Linked DNA regions of Drosophila melanogaster. The protein of the gene in region 2 interacts with the protein of the main gene of each other region in a pairwise test. Each region holds a gene or a part of one and is shown on either strand. Other genes may lie near its edges.

What was found.
Region 1: the proteins of CG11811 (region 2) and CG15236 interact in a two-hybrid assay, tested with the Drosophila melanogaster proteins (one large-scale study listed by BioGRID).
Region 3: the proteins of CG11811 (region 2) and scaf6 interact in a two-hybrid assay, tested with the Drosophila melanogaster proteins (one large-scale study listed by BioGRID).

The regions. Positions count from the first base shown.
Region 1 is NT_033778.4:6,826,450-6,831,383, forward strand, and holds the start of CG15236 (uncharacterized protein), read left to right. Parts: upstream 1-1,906; 5' UTR 1,907-2,218; intron 2,219-3,052; exon of another isoform or gene 3,053-3,111; 5' UTR 3,112-3,466; coding exon 3,467-3,599; intron 3,600-4,846; exon of another isoform or gene 4,847-4,934.
Region 2 is NT_037436.4:10,689,477-10,693,113, reverse strand, and holds CG11811 (uncharacterized protein), read right to left. Parts: upstream 2,091-3,637; 5' UTR 1,939-2,090; coding exon 1,237-1,938; 3' UTR 516-1,236; downstream 1-515. Other genes in the region: CG33493 (uncharacterized protein), read left to right, coding at 1-299.
Region 3 is NT_037436.4:17,036,547-17,044,445, forward strand, and holds scaf6 (SR-related CTD associated factor 6), read right to left. Parts: upstream 6,029-7,899; 5' UTR 5,914-6,028; coding exon 5,892-5,913; intron 5,728-5,891; coding exon 5,557-5,727; intron 5,495-5,556; coding exon 5,148-5,494; coding exon of another isoform or gene 5,139-5,147; exon of another isoform or gene 4,388-5,138; intron 4,056-4,387; coding exon 3,893-4,055; intron 3,665-3,892; coding exon 3,592-3,664; intron 3,085-3,591; coding exon 3,010-3,084; intron 2,788-3,009; coding exon 2,711-2,787; intron 2,648-2,710; coding exon 2,449-2,647; intron 2,387-2,448; coding exon 1,385-2,386; intron 1,328-1,384; coding exon 1,160-1,327; intron 1,089-1,159; coding exon 774-1,088; intron 710-773; coding exon 538-709; intron 485-537; coding exon 386-484; 3' UTR 313-385; downstream 1-312. Other genes in the region: beg (bad egg), read left to right, coding at 1-292; Papst2 (PAPS transporter 2), read left to right, coding at 6,520-7,371, 7,428-7,609, 7,672-7,828.

The sequences.
Region 1 (4,934 bases), on a different chromosome or scaffold from region 2:
TATTATGAACGCTAACATCGGAAGTAAAATAAAGCGATTTAACTATTTCCATAGATTATTTTCACAATATTTGAATGTGAGTAGGTAAAAAGTAAGATTTTTCATAATAATTAATTATTAATATGCAACCCTTTTAGCACGGATGACCGGTTGAAGTGACAATATATGTAGGCCACAACTCTTAATTAAATGGTTATTCATATAATGCATAGTTAAATATTTAAATACATTTGCTCATACGCTCTTTTTGCTGGTTATGATTTCGATTAATGCGCGCATTTGTGGGGAGCAATATAATTGCTTTGGCAAACATTAAATTCATATCGGATCGGCATCATCTGCCAACTGGCAATATTTAGCCATAACGATATAAATATTTTCTGCATAAATTGCTTGCATACGGATAACGATTTGCATTCACATAAATATTCAGCACTTAGATTGGGTCAATTGCCATCCCTCATATGACCGGAAGTGAATGGATTGTTACATCTGGAGCAACTTCTTGACCGTGATTTATCTGGCGCATTCATCGCCAACTGTTGCTCAAAATCCAAGGATACTCAAAGAGTGGAGGAGTAGCTCTCCATTTTGGCCGGGTATTGTTATATTGTGTTAATGCATGACGTTGTTAGGCAGCTCAAAGTGTACAAAAGAAATTAGCAAACTTGAAAAATAAGAAAAGCTGCGAATTCAGCGGCAACTGTTGACAGTTATCCTGGCACAAACACGCATTGTAATGTCTAACAAGCTTCACAGCAAACATCGCCCGTCACTCAACGGCCTCACAGTCCTGACAGGTCCTGCGTCCTTAAGTGTGTGTGGCTGTGTGTCGGTGGGTGTGTACGGGTGTGTGGGCGTCTGTCATTTACATATTTACACTTTGTTCCCGGTGCCTTGGACTGAACTTTAGCCCGTGGTGGTGCTGTGCGCCACATGTCCTGCCCCAAGCATGTCCCGCTCGGAAAAATATCCAAATATTTTACTTTAACGCAGTGCTAATGTAACTATGCTCCTCCACATGCACGTCCCCACGGTTCCTCTGCTCAAAATCCTTGTTTGTTTAAAGTATCACTTTTAAAAATTTAAGCGTTCAGCCATTTTCCGCTGACATTATAATGTGCAAAAACAATTGAATAGAGATTGAAACGTTCAACTTACGCGCTTATTAAAGTAATTGAGTTTTAAAGAATTTGAAACCTGCACAAGTTTCCCCATCCCATCATTTCTCAATAAAAAGTATCAAGTTGTAAGATTAAGAATTTTAAGAAGTATTTCACTATCAAAGCTTTTTTTTTTTTAAGTGGGGAGGTGATAATTGCGGGTTGAAGGACCACTCGACGAATATTGCATATACTGTATAGGCTGTATAGACTGTATAGACTGTATACTTATCAGTTCATCAGTTACCCCTTTGGCAAAACCCAAGATTGAGCACCCACATGCATACATTGCTGCTTCGCGCAGGTCATTCTTGGTAGTGATTACAAGATACTGACTGAGAAGATACTTTCATCTGCAGTGATATATTTTCCCCCGTGCAATGCGATTAAGACAACTGCCGGCGGTGGCGACAATGCATTTTAAGGTGGCAAGTGCGAGCCCAAATGGCCCAAAGGCGCCAAAGGGAAAATGCAATTTCCACCGAAAATAACGGATAGCGGCCTGTAGCTGATTCACTTTGGTGCAATTTGCATGAATCCGGTGGCTAACATACGGCTAACAGGCGCTGTTATCGTTGCTGCCGCAGCTGTGTTTATTGCGCACAACTCATTCATAAAAGCGGGGAGAGCGCTCTCTCGGAGGAGATAGAGAGAGAGACAGAGAGAGAGAGAGAGAGCGGAGATTGAGTTGTCGGCGGCTGCTGTGCTTGTGTGCAATAAATACAAAGGACTCAGCATCCGCGGCAACAGTGCCGTCGCAGTGCTGAGCGCAGAGTGTCGCAGGTCCAAGGACTCAGTCATCGCGTAGCCGCCGTGTGTGACGGACCGACGCCGCTTTGTGGCCGATTTAAAGCGAGTCTTGATGCGAGAAGTGCATTCAATTAACATAAAATGTAATTAGGGACCCTCTCTCCGCCTCTCTTAATCAAACGCAAACATCGGAAACTGAGCCGCGGAGGCAAAACGAATGCCATTAAAGCGCCTGCGAATAAATCACGGCATGCCAGTGCAGTCGAAACTCAATCAAGTTGAACGGAAATCGTCGAAAATTAAACGTAAATTAAATACCACCCGGCCACGCGGCATTCGGACCGCCTTTATTAGAAGTTATGGCTGCCAACCTTTGCCAGCTTTGTTTCATCCATCAATGTGTGCGACAGTCACGTGGGTGTGCGGATTGGGATCCGGACTTGGTTGCGATTGGGATCGAGATGGGGTGGGGATTGGGATTGGGATTGCCGCTGGCATGGCGCTAATTTCTCACACTTCAAACGTGGCAATGAATTTCCGCTCCAGCCTCCTGCGGATGCTTTCGTTCCGTTTGGCTTTGCTTTGCTTTCCCAGCCACCATGTTCCCAGCTCCCCGATTTCCCGGTGGCGCCCCTCACTCCCTGACCACCTAACACCCTTACCCGCTCCAGTGCTCGTGCCATTTGGATAGCTAAGCCTCTCCAGTGCCACAGATTAAATGGATTGACGGTGCAGTTACCACGGCCGTTGGATAAACACGAGCACGAGCACTTGGACCGGGAGTGTGCGTCCATCGGGGAAGACCTCCTCCGTATTCACTTCTTTATGATTAGTTAATGGGATTCAATTTCATTCGAAATCAGCCGCCACAGAACGTGGCAATCGCAGCTGCCGCAGCTTCCTTCGCAAATTTCGTAAGGCAACTTTCTGAAGGAAACACTTGTTGGGTCTTTCTCAACTAACCAGGCACGTAGCTCCGGCGAAAGGAGTACCAAGTGGGGGAGTTGGGAGGCGGAGGACGAAAGCCGAACGGCTGAAGGCCGGGGAAAGTGAATCACAGTTGCGCCATTAGGAGGCCGTGAAATAAATTCAATATAAGCGGGTCCTAATGGCGGTAGTTGAGTTCCATTTACATTCAGCCTCCATAAATTGGCATGGCTGCGAAAATCGTTGCCTACTTAAGAGGGCCCACATTTAGCAGGCGCAGCACCGGCATTGTGAATGCAGCATACCACCGCCATTCTGTACATTCTAAAAATAACAAACAACTCGAGTGCGATAAAAACAGCCGTTCCTACCAAGGTATAAAGTGCTAGCGTAAACACAGCCGAAGAAGGAGCGCAAACAAACATCGGAGCCACCTAAAACGGCGAACAAACAGCGGCGAAGGTTCCTGTACTGTGCGGAATCCTCGCTGTGTCGGTGTATTGGTGTACCGGTGTACCGGTTTGTCGGTATATCGCTCTGTGTGTGTGCCAGTGTGTGTGGGCCAAAGGAGCCAAGCAAAGAGTCAGAGCAAAAATGTGCAAGTAAGGTGCAGCAAGCAAAGTGCAATGCCATCCGTGAAATCCGCCGAAAGTGAGATTCTTCTTGGGATTATAAGGAGCGACAGCATGACGAGCGGCAATTCCCTGAGGTCCTGCCTCCTGCTGGCCACCATCCTGGGATTACTCTGCCGGACGAAGGGTGAGTGGAGCGTCTGGGAGTCTGGGAGTCCCTCAATCTTCGGACTGAGCAGCTCTCTGTCGCCGATTGCTTTGCTTGAATTATGGAGAGCAGTCGGAATAAAAGGAGAATCCGTTTTACAGCCTTATTAAATCTGTATTACATAAATTACGGCAAGCGTTTCACTCTGCATTTTTATGAGTGCTTTGCGCTTTCACATTTCACATTTTCCATTTGCCTTTCCCTGCTTTTATGTCATAATGAGTGCAGCCTTTTGATTTAATGACAACTGTTTGCCATAAAACAACATACATATGCACACACAGCGCTGACTTTTATGTGGCCCGTGATTTATTTCACTTCTTATTTTTATGATAATTTATCAAATATGCATAATAAAATGCCAGCAAACGTTTATGGCCTCTGTGAATTTTGCCAAAATTTCATTTGTAAGGTGGCAACAGCTTGCCGATCGGATTTTGTGTGCTGAATTCCTACTGCAGGGTGGACCTTGTTCTGTCCTAAGTAACGAATTATAAACCACGATTGTTGTATATACCACTAAGGGACTGTAAGCGATGCCTGTTTCCCTGCTCTATAAGTCTTTCATTTTGTAGACAGGCTTCAATAATCGAGGAGGCAGTTCACGTAGTGACGAATGTAGAGTCAATATTTAATTGTGTTCGGACCATGCGATGCATTAAAATATTCGCAAATTTAGTAGAAAACATTTTATAGTATTATGCGATTTCACGTAGAAACCTTTCCTTAACACTTTGGCTTAAAAATGTTTCTATCTTTGGGTGTTTCATAGACTTTGTAGCTTGAAGTCTAATCACTTTAAGTTTAAGACTAGGCCATCGATTTTCATTTTCTGTAATGGATCATATGTATATATTTTTAATCAGTAAAGGCTTTTCCTTTTTACTTGCTTTTGCTTGTTTTATACATTAGTTTGGTATATTTCAAAGAATCCATAAAAACTTTGAGATGTTGATAAGATATTTGTGACTATTCAAAGGGAAACTGCCTTGAACTTTTGAACCGCTCTTCTTTGTTTTCTCTTGAGATATGAAATGACCAAAAAGGTTCACTGTCGCCTTTTGTTTTTGTTAACAACTCCACTATAGCTTAATTATTTTTTATGATTCTTTATCTACGTTCAACATTTTTATGCGAAATGTGCTGTTCAACGGAGATAAATACCGATTTTAGATATTTTTAACTTAAGCTATTAAGACAAATTCGAGCACAAGATATTATTAAATGGTGTTCTTAATATTCACACTTAGTGATTTTATTAATTCGTTTCGCTTTGTAATGTTTTTATTGATTTGAGCTCAATTTTGTTTTCTT
Region 2 (3,637 bases):
TTCAGTACCTTCTGCTACTGCTCGTCATCTCCATCGGCTTGGCGGCATCGGTGCCTCGCCAGCGTCGTCAGATCGATCTCACGGTTTCGGCGGAGCACGACGACAACGATGAGGAGACGGAACTGGCTCTGGAGGCCATCGCCGGGCTATGGAGCAGTGCGGACAGTCGGACGAAGATCGATGGCTCTGCCAGCCTGGTGCATCGAACACATGGAACACAATCGGGTACGGGCAGCACCAGATACCAGGCCAAACTGCATCTACACCATGACTATAAGACCAATGCGTATCCCTCGTAATCCAAGGTTCGGAGCAGGACTTTCGCGTGGGCGTGCGTATTACATTCGACAAATAGAGCCGTGAGAATTCCAGACATCAGCAGGCGGGCGGCCGGGGACAAAATCGAGCGATTGCGTGAGGAGACAGACGGCCACTGTATAAACAATCCCACTGACGATAGATAACATTTTGACCTTCTCGGGCTTGGCTTTGTTGGAAATATATATAGAACGTTTGTGAAAATACAATATACCCGCATAATGTTCGCTTTATTGATTCCATTTTAATCGCCCTCTCCGGTTTTCTCGACCGTGAAGCGGCGCGCAACAAATTTCAGCTTAAAATTACAACTAGAACAACGAATTTGCACAACAATGATGAGGTGGACAGGAGGAGAGTATATAATAAATACAAGCCATTTCTTAAGTATAAATGCCATTAGTCAAAGTGGTTTGCAGGGTGGGGGCTCCAGGCATCGGGGTCACGAAAAGTAATCTATGGTCTACTTTCATTGGAAACATTGGGTCAAGTTCGCTGGCTAAGCAATTGTTTACTAACAATATTCTGCTGCTGACAAAGTATTTTTCACAATATAAGCAAAGTTTGTCCTAGAATTCAAAAATAGTCTGCTTCTACATAAAACTAAAATCTTGATATTGCTCTTATATATGCGATTATTGAATGGAGAGTATTATTTCTATTTTATTTAAGAAAACTATTAGTTAAAATATGAAGTTTGATATTCTGTATCTTCGGAAAGTTTTTAAGTTTCTCTTATAAGCTAAATTCTTTACAATATGCATAAAGAGTACCTGGTTTTCCTATAGCTTCCTGCCGTTTCCAATGATAAGTTTTCTATAATTTACTTTTCCTGTCGTCGATCAGTTCACAAACAATTTCTACCCCCACCCCATTGAGGTTAATATCATTCTACATTCGTCCGCAAAATGCTTCGCCTTAATTCAAGTTAACTGATACTCCCTGCTTCTGCTGCTCCTTGAGTTCCTGGACGACAAAGTTGCGGAATTCCTCGTAGGCCACATCGATGTCCACGTTATTGATGATCTTGTGGAAGTTGCCGGGCGTCAAACCATAATCGAGCTCCACCTGAGCGGCATTGAGGCGCTTGCTCAGCGACTCCTCCGTTTCGGAGCCACGTTTGCGAAGTCGTCGCTCCAGCTCCTTGATGCTCGGTGGATTGTTGAATATCAGTATGGGATTGAGATCCGTACGCTTGATCTGCTCCACTCCCTTCTGTTCGATGTCCAGTATGCAGACCCGTCCCTGTGCCTGGATCTCTCTAACCGCCGCCTTGCTCGTTCCATAAAGATTGCCCGTAAACTCGGCCGTCTCGATGAACTCGTCGCCAGCGATGGCTGCCTCCATTTCCGGACGTTCCACAAAATAGTAGTGCACGCCATGCTCCTCGCCCTCACGCGGCTTCCGCGTGGTGTGCGATATGCTGAAGCCAAAGGTGCTGGGGAATTCGGCGAATAGCCTTTTCAGCAGCGTACTCTTTCCGGATCCCGAGGGACCGCATAGGACAAGGGGGCGTGGCCCGGGGGCGGTCATCTTCTTGCTCGTTAAGGATGCCGCTGCACTGCTACTGCTGCTGCTGCTGCTGAGCGCCCGATTTACAATGAACAGAAAGCTTATCATCGCGTGGCCTTTTATTCGCACAGAACAGCACCAACAACACAAATGGGGGCCAAAAAAGCTGGTTTAGTTCTTTTTGCTATTTGGCTTTGGCTAAATTAAGAGAAGTGGGCGTGCTTGTGCATGTGTGTGTGCGCCAGCGGTGGGCGAAAGTCGATACATATCGATAGGCCAAGCAGTGCGATAAATGTTCAAAATTTGTATTGAAAAAATGGTTCTTTTGAATTTGAACAAATAAGTTGAATATCTAATTGAATATTTAAAATTAAGTTATTTAAAAGCTGTATAATCTATACAAAATATTAATTGGCCGAAATGTTAATAATGTATTATTTGCATTTACATAACAAATAAGTTTAAAATTGCTGGAACTGACTTAAAAATCAATTTATTAATTTGGCGATTCAAGCCTCCCAAATAAACAATCAAACACCAGTCGATTTTGGTTTAAAAACTGTTATATTCTTATACTGTTTTACATTTAGCATAGAATTTCAAACACACATACACACTGAAACTGATGCCGACTGAATTACAATGCATTTGTAGTTATTTTTTTATTTTTATTTGTATTTAGCTTACAATAATTGTGAATTTCTCATCTGCTTGTTTCCGTTTAATTGTTTTCTCATTATTCTCGTTTTCTTACGTTTTTGTAATTTCATATTTTTTTGATCACATTTTGATTTCGCATGCCCAAAGTGAATTTGGTTTGTGTTCCGAATGATTCGCCTGAATGTAAACCTACTTTACTGCCGTCCGATAAATCAAAAATATATATATGTATATATATATATATTATTTTACCTCGTATGTTTAGGGATTTATGCAAGCCTCTGCTTCTGCTAGATTCCTACTAATCTGTGTATATGCTAATATTCAGTCAATATTATATTCATATCTTCAATGGAGGATCGAAAACCTGAAGTTCTGCTCTGTTCTGTTCGGTTCTAATGGGAAGAGTATATAGATTTCGGTTTACCGAAGATGAATACCTCATCTGTCAAATATATGTACAAATTATCATATCTTTTTAGCTTTAAGTTTTCGATGTTTCTCTGTTATTTTTGCATTTAAAGTGGAACAAAATGAAAGAAACAGTCCTAGGCGACGATCATGGTATCATATGGTATTATGATTTATGGTATATGGTATATAAGGTTGCTGGATCCCTCGCGGTCTCAACTAAATAACAGTACTAACTTCGTATCGGAGCTGTAACATGGATAAGGCATGTGGAGGATTTGATATCGGAAATGAGTAATGAAATGTGAATTATGTGTTAAGTTTGTGGCTGGCTCTCCGGCAATGCAAGAATTGGTTTAATTGTTTTCTGTAATTTATTGTACCCTAAAAATTTGTTTACAACTAATACTATGCATATGCTTAAAATTGATTAAAAAATATAATATTTATATTTATAGATTTATTCACGATGCTAAGAACTAAACGAATTGTACGACAAAATTGTTGAATAAGACCAAAAAAGGGAGCCATGCAGTTCAGCAATCCCAATTGGGACTCCCAAAAAAGGTTAACAATTACAAAAAAGGTTTTTAGGGCGGGGTGGGGATTTGTTGGTTGAATGGTTTGTGTGTGTTTGTGTGTGTGTGGTGTGCGCCCCTAGAAAAACGGGGCAATCTTCTTACTGGCTAGGATTCAATATTATTCATATTTAATATTCAATTACTAGGAGCTTAAA
Region 3 (7,899 bases), 6.3 Mb from region 2:
GGAGCCATTTACCAAAGCCCTGAAAACGGTGCGACTTCAGGACCCCGTCATTAGAGTGTACTCCAATGTGGATGGCAAACCCTATCGCCATGCCAAGCACATCCTAACGCAGCTGCCCAAGCAAATCGTGAGGCCCGTCAAGTGGGAGCAGACTCTCCACGAGATGTACGAGCGCAAGCAGGGCGTCGACTTTCCACGCACCTTCGAATGCGGTCCTGGCAAGGGCCTGGTCCAGGTCCTGGAAAAAGTAAATGCCAAGGCCGCTCAATCCAGCTTTAATGTTATAGCCTAATCTTGTATAAAAATTCAGTTCGCTTTTATAAAAATGTATATTTTCTGGGCTAAAGGAAACAAAAAACTGGGAAGTTATGACCGTTGGCAGATCCTAACTCTTGTCGTCTCGCGATCGCATCCGGTGCGCGAAGGCAGCTCCTTTGTTCTTCCGAAAGCTCTCGAAGGGATCGTGCATATTAGCGCCCACTCCCTGTGGATAGAAAATTATAAGTTGTCCTTTCTTGCGCACTCTTGCCACTTCACCTTGTACATCTCTCGACGATCGCGCACCTCGCCTCCCGAAATGGGCGTGTCGATGCCTTGATTCTTTGAGCCCAGTCCAGTTCCCGTGCCCGCCCAACCCATTTTCATGAGCATTTGGTGGCCCTTGTTCGATTCCTCGATGAAATCCGCTGGCTTGGCAAATGTGCTTCCCCTGGAAAAACAAAGATAGCTCATTGGTCCGACTGTCATGAAATTGTACTATAGCCATGATTTACAGAAAGCTCGGAGGTGTTAGAGATCTGTCGCGGTCCACTCGTCTTAGGTTGGTGCTGTTGCCATTGTCTCGGCTATTGGAATTGCCACGATCACCACGGCCCTCTCTGGTATTTGTGCTGCCGCTGTTGTTGTCCCGTTCGTGGCGAGGAGATCGATTGCGACCCTTGCGGTTGTTACCACCGCCCAACCTGCTCCGATTCATCGGTGGCGGCGTTAAAGAGCGCTCCATGGATCGCGAGCGGGATCGGGAGCGAGACAACGATCTATCTCGATGGGGCGGCGTTTTTGAGCGGGAGCGACTGCGACTCTTGGATCTGCGCAAGAAAATAAGTGCAAATATTTCTAGTTTTTGTGTGAAAATTTTTGATGGAAAACCAACACTCACCGATAAACTCGCTTGTTGCTCTTTTTGGGTAGGGGTTTCTCGAGCACAATCGGACTTGGCGACCGCGACTTTTCTCGAATGCCGTCCTTGATTTCCTCTTCTTTTTGCTTTCGCGCCGCATTCTTCACCTTATAGTACTCATAGAGACCAAGCTTCTCCCAACCCTCACTGCAAGATAAGCCCATTTATAAGGAACGCTCAATAACATCAAATTGAAATACTTACTTATCCCTTGGACGATCGTGTGAGGGTGCGGAATAGAAGGCGTTCAATGCATTTGTTAATCGCTCGCTTTGTGGCGCTGGAGCTGGCAGTCGAATGTCCGCCGGATCGAGGGCTTTGTAGTTGTAATCCTCCAGACGAATGAGCGGCACCATGAGGCCCGCTGGCAGGTCGTAGTAAGGCGCTGTGGGTATTTGTGGCTCTCCGATCACAACAGGTTCTCCAGATTCTCCGTCGACCAATTTCTGTGGTTGCTGGCCATCTTCCAATGTTCCGTCTTCGGGTTTGTTGGTTATAACCGCGCGAATGGCTGCATTGAGCACATCCAGATCCACTTCGCTGCTATCAGCATTTTGCTGGCCAGGTCTAACAATATTCTGGGGATAGGCAGCCATTGGCGGCGGCTGCTTTTGCTGCTGCGGTTGTTGCTGCTGCTGCTGCTGCAGTTGGTGCTGTCCTTGTTGCTGAGGGTCGTCAGGATGGTGTTGCTGCTGCATCTGTAAGCACGCCTGAATCGCTGCACTGAGAACGCCAAGATCAACAGGTGGTTCATTGCCAGAACCCGGCGCCTGCATGGGCGGAAACTGTCCCGGTTGTGGCTGCTGCTGGCCCATTGCTGGGCCCTGATTATGATGCATGGGTCCGGGGAAGCCTGGTGGTGGTTTGGACATGTCCGGAATGAAGAAGTTCGGTCCGCGTGGATCCGCAAAGTGATTCCCCGGTGGTGGCTGCTGCTGTTGGAAGTTACCACCTGGATACATATTATTTCCCGCCTGCGGATGCTGCTGATCATGCGGCCCCTGGCTATTCATGTGCTCATGGTCACCCGGCATTGCTATTCGGTGGGACATCAGCGATGGTATGTTCTTCTGCTGATGCTGAAGCATGTGTTGCTGCTGGGACTTCTGGGCCACAATCTGCTGCTCCAGGTGCTGCGCCTGTTTCTCCAGCTGCACAATTTGCTGGCTAGCATGTTGGATAAATACATGATGCTGTTTCTGATAGCTGAAGCATAAGAGTTATGGTTTATTATGTGCTCTATTATGTTCTTGGACTTTTATACTTACTTATCCAAAGTCGCCTTGGTATTCTGCGTGAATTTAGCAGTTATATCATGATGTGTGTTCTGCAGATTGGTTTTGTACTCCTGCATTGACGAGTCCGGTGACTGAAGCTTCGAGATGACGCAGGCATCGAAGAACTTCGCCTTGGACTCCCACAGAGACAGCAGCTTGGCTAGCTTCTGGCGCTGGTCGGGGTTGCCAACTGTGGGCGAGGATAACACTATTAGAAATCCGTAAAGGAATGGATCGAAGTGGAAATACATACTCAAGTCGGCGCTGCAGAACATCGGAATGACGACGTTCTCGAGGCTGTTCTTCAAGTCATTGATGTTCTTGCGCATGCTGTAAATATATCGTTGGACTTAGGTCTCATCTCCTAGCTACTCTAAATGTCAAGGTATGATGTCCGAAGTCCGGTGGTCGGTCAGGTTCAGTCCAATTCTGTCAGCGTAGTCGTCCGCAGAAACTAACCCACAAAGTAGTCTTACTGCTCAGTGGGTTAGTTATTGAGGTCTATGGCCCTTAAATACTATACTATACTAATAATTGACTGGGCGAACTTACCAGTGATGGAGTATATCATTAACTAAATATATAAGATGCAATTTTTGCTGAAACGTTGAACCATTGACCAAAGCCCTAAAAATAAATTAACAAACGAAAAACATATTTTTCTAGTTCTCTGTATGCACAACAACATTGCCAAAAGTACTTGTTGTGCAAGTATAATGATTTTTGTTAGTAAATCTTCTTTCTTTTTGGTATTTGTGTTTTTTTTTTTGGTTTTTTTTTTTTGTCCGATGATTATCACTGTTAAGTGTTGGTGTGTTGTTGTGCGTGTTTATGGTTAAGCTTATTAAGTAAAATGATTTGTTTGGGTGTGTGGCCCTAGCTAAAAGACTTCCGGATCTGGGGACTACTCATATATGATCATAACATCTCTCGAAAACGAATCAACGAATCAATCTCGAGCCTCTCTGTGGAAGTCTCAATCGCACAATCGCTCAATCGATCATCTCTCACTTGTTTGTTCGATATTTCGTATTTCGTTTTTCTATGTTTGGTTAGTATTTCACTCGTTGAAAGAAAGAAACACAATTTAATTAATACATATTGCAGGTCATTAGGTATAAAACTGAGGCATACTTCTTTAAAAGATATTGTAAAACGACATTGATTTTTGCGCTGTCGGTTGAATGCTGTAAAATCCAGTTCTTGCCTAAAATTGCAATATCAAACGGGTTACTCATATTGTCATTGTCCATGGCGATTATAAATTAGGTTTAGGATTAATCAAAAAGTAGTATGGATTCATTTAGTGTGCGCTTTGTGTGCAGCAAAGCTGCGGAGCATCAAAAATTCAGCTCCATTAGCTAACTTATGACTGATTACGAGACTACAAACAAGCAATAATGTAATCCAGCCTGTCCGCTGAACTCGTATTTACCTGCAGAGATGCTGTCCTTCGTGCAGGACTCGATGATCGGCTGCAGAACGCCATCGAAGTCCCTCAGCACAATGCCCTGTTCGCCAGCCATCTGTTCCTGCTGCGCCGTCTGCGCCGCCGCAATTGCATCCTCGATCTGCTTGGTCTTCTGATTCATCAGGGCCTACAGGTTGGTTTCGTTTGGTTGATTGGTGCGATTAGGATCGCAAGCGTTGGTGTGGTTCGGATCGGTTCGGTTTGGTCATTAGGCACACAAAGGTTTGTTCGCATGCATATTCGCATTTTGGGATTCATTTGACAAGCGTTTCAAAACAAATTTGATTTTAGGATTTGTTTTTTTTTTGTTTTTATACAGTTTTGTCAGTTGGTATGAAGAGTGGTTTGATTTGGTTTTTTTTTTTTTGGTTTATGTTTCAAAAAATACAATAAAGCAAAAATTTAATGTAGCATTGTAAATTGTTAATTAAATAGTAAAAATAATGACAAATATAGATTGTAGTTTGATATTGCTGAAAGTACACTTTAACTTTATCTTATCCGCACTTGGAGAACAAGAACTGAGTAGATCGATTGAAAAAACATTTGGAAAAGGGTCGAGAGCAGGATTGATTATTCTGAGGAATTCGTGGATTAGTTTCATAAGAAACAATTTCAAGAGGGAAGTCACTTCCATTACAGGGAAATTCAATAGCGACAAGCAATAAGAAATGTCCTTCTTATTAGAAAGAATTTAGTTCACAGTACTTATAGAGTGAAAAGTCCACAAAAGCAGTTCATAATTATTAATATTAAACACCATTTGATGAACTCTTGTTCCAGAGTTGTTATTACAAAAACTAGGGAATACAAAACTGCCATCTATGAGTCTATGACAATATCTTTGGAAATCATTTAAGTCCGAAAGTATATAAGGGTTATACAAGTTATCTTCTCTCTTAAGAAAATAATTAAAAGCATTCTGGCTTAAAATCGAGGTATATTCACATTCGATTGGGTCGTTTAAAAGGGAGGTCAAAAATTCGAAGAAGCAAACACGTTCTTATATTCAGACTATAAAAGCAACTTTTAGGTGGGTATTTAGTTTAAAAAGGAAACCAATTTGCTTCTTTAAATTTTTGCCAGAGGAGGCCAACATTCAACATGAAATCATATTGAAATCTTTTCTTTATACACTCGAGCTGCTCTAATCTTTCGGAAAAAGGCTTGCAAAGGTGGGCATATAGAGGTATCCCAGTTATTTCCAACTTCAAATTACCGTGTGCTGTGCGGAGAGATTCGCTTCGGATTGCTGGATCTGTTCCCGCAGCGACTTCTGCTGCATCTTGATGGCTTCCAGTTGTGACGTTAGATTCATGGCCATGGGATTGCCATTGGCCTGCTGATTGTTTGGCGGCCCACCGTTGCCGGAGTTCGGCGGCCAGGAGTGCTGTGTTTGCTGTTGCATATTGTCTTGTGCGGTTTCGGGCGGGTGCGGTGGCTGCTGATTGGGTGGCGGATAGAGGCCCGGTGGTTGGGATTGCTGCATTGGCGGCGGATGTTGCATGTAGTGGCCGGATGGAGCACCTGGTGGCAGTTGTTGGTTAATGGCCTGTTGCTTTAGCACTGTATTGGGTGTTAAAAGGAGATTATAGGGGTTATTTTCCACCAATTTAGAACGCACTCACGAGCTTGTTCCGCTGCCACCCTGAATTGATAATAGTTGGCGAACTCCCCGCCGTAGAGGAACTCGAACTTTGGATTGTTCTGCTGCTTCTGCTTGGTTATCGCCTCGAATTCCGGCCCATTTCTGGCCACAAACTCCGCCAGTTTGTCGATAATATTTCGTAAACTGGCATCTGCAAATAGAAAGCAAATGGTTTTTGCAAAAAATGTGAGCATATCAAAGGTTGTGCGTGCGCTTGTTTGTTTGTATGTGTACACATGTGCATGCCAATCGACTTGGGCACAAAATTAGCTTGATTTTAAGTTATATTCAGCACTTTTTAATTGCTGCACTTACCGCGTGGCGGTTGCACGTCCATTTTGCGACTGTTATTAGCACTATTATCCTATGTAAAATACTAAATTCATAACTTTTTGCACTTTTTCAGCGGCACTTTTCACTGCTTCTTCTTGTTTTTTCCGACAGTGTGCCCATATCTTTGTATTCTTAGAACGACATGTAGTCAAATACTAGGAGTTACTCTCGGCACTACTTTTTAAGTAGTTTTTAGCGCTTATCATACGCTTTTTTGAGCAAAAAAGCGGCTTAAACCTTTATCGCTGCTCATTTGTTAAATGTATTTATTGCCAGTAGCAGAAGTTCCAATTAGAATGACGGTGGTAGCAGAGCTGCCAACTTGTTCCACGTTATACCGGTCTCTCTTCTATTATTACCACAACGTGGCAACGCCGCGCGTCTATCTCAGTTCTAAGCTGACAAAAATAGTTTATTTGTGGTAAACAAACATTTAGCCAGGGCAATTTGCACCCAACAGAAATCTCCACGCCGGCCCGTGATTAATGCAGCATCCGAGGAGGCATGACAAATCCGCACTTTAAACCGACAACTCCGCGGACAGCGTGGCATTGAATTACACGGGCTCCCTGGAAATATAATCTTGAAATAGCCACTATATAGTGTGTATATGTATATAGACACATCCGCTAGCAGCAGAATGACCGATAATAAGGGGAGCGTTATCACCATTAATGGCGGCGAATCGGCGGGAAACTCGCCGCCCTCGCAGCGGAAGTCCTCGACGTCGGAATCTCCGCCGGAACTCCGTATCCTTTGCTTTGACCTCACCTACTACAATCGCACAACTCAGTTCCTGCTCAGCTGCGCCGGCGTCTTCTTCCTGTACATCCTGTACGGCTATCTGCAGGAGCTGATCTTCACCGTCGAAGGATTCAAACCCTACGGATGGTTCCTCACGCTCGTCCAGTTTGGCTACTACATCGGCTTCGGTTTGGTGGAGCGGCGGCTGGAGGGCTATCGGATAAGCGGCGGTTCCTTTTGGAACATTGAGCCGGAGCCACGTTGCATTCCCATGAGAACATACCTAATTCTGGCTGCTCTCACGCTGGGTACCATGGGTCTGTCCAACTCAAGTCTCGGCTACCTGAACTATCCCACCCAGGTGATTTTCAAGTGCTGCAAGCTCATTCCCGTGCTGGTGGGCAGCATCCTCATACAGGGCAAACGCTACGGACTGCTGGACTTTGCGGCAGCCACCTGCATGTGCATCGGATTGGCCTGGTTCACGCTGGCCGACTCCCAGATGACGCCCAATTTCAATCTGCTTGGTGTGGCCATGATTTCGGGAGCGCTGCTCTGCGACGCAGCCATTGGCAATGTCCAGGAGAAGGCGATGCGGGAATTCAAGGCGCCCAGCAGTGAGGTGGTGTTCTACTCATACGGCTTGGGTTTTGTGTACCTATTTGTGATTATGCTGGTTACCGGCAACTTCTTCAGCGGCTTTGCATTCTGTTTGGAGGTGGGTAACATTTGAGGTTTATGATGTAAGAGATCTAAAGTGTATTATCCATTTAGCATCCCGTTGAGACCTTCGGCTATGGCTTCCTCTTTAGTTTGTCCGGCTATCTGGGCATTCAGTTTGTGCTGGCTCTGGTGAGGAGTAGTGGTGCCCCCATAGCTGCCACAGTGACCACCGCCCGCAAGGCTGTGACTATAGCCTTCTCCTTTGTGCTTTTCAGCAAGCCCTTTACCTTACAGTAAGTACTATTCTGTGTATTTCTAAAGACAAAGCTCTATTATACCTATCCCAAACTTTCAGATATCTGTGGTCGGGCCTCATCGTTGTCCTGGGCATATATCTCAATGTCTACAGCAAGAGGAACAAGCTGACGTTGGCCGACGTCCGGCAGAGAATAAAGCAATTTGGAGCCAAGGTTGCCCGCTCACCGAGTCGCAAATTCCTCATCGAAGTTTAGAACGATACCAAAAACACTCACATTTTAGTTGAATTGGAAGCATGGGTTTTCTATAAGAAAACCATTAAATA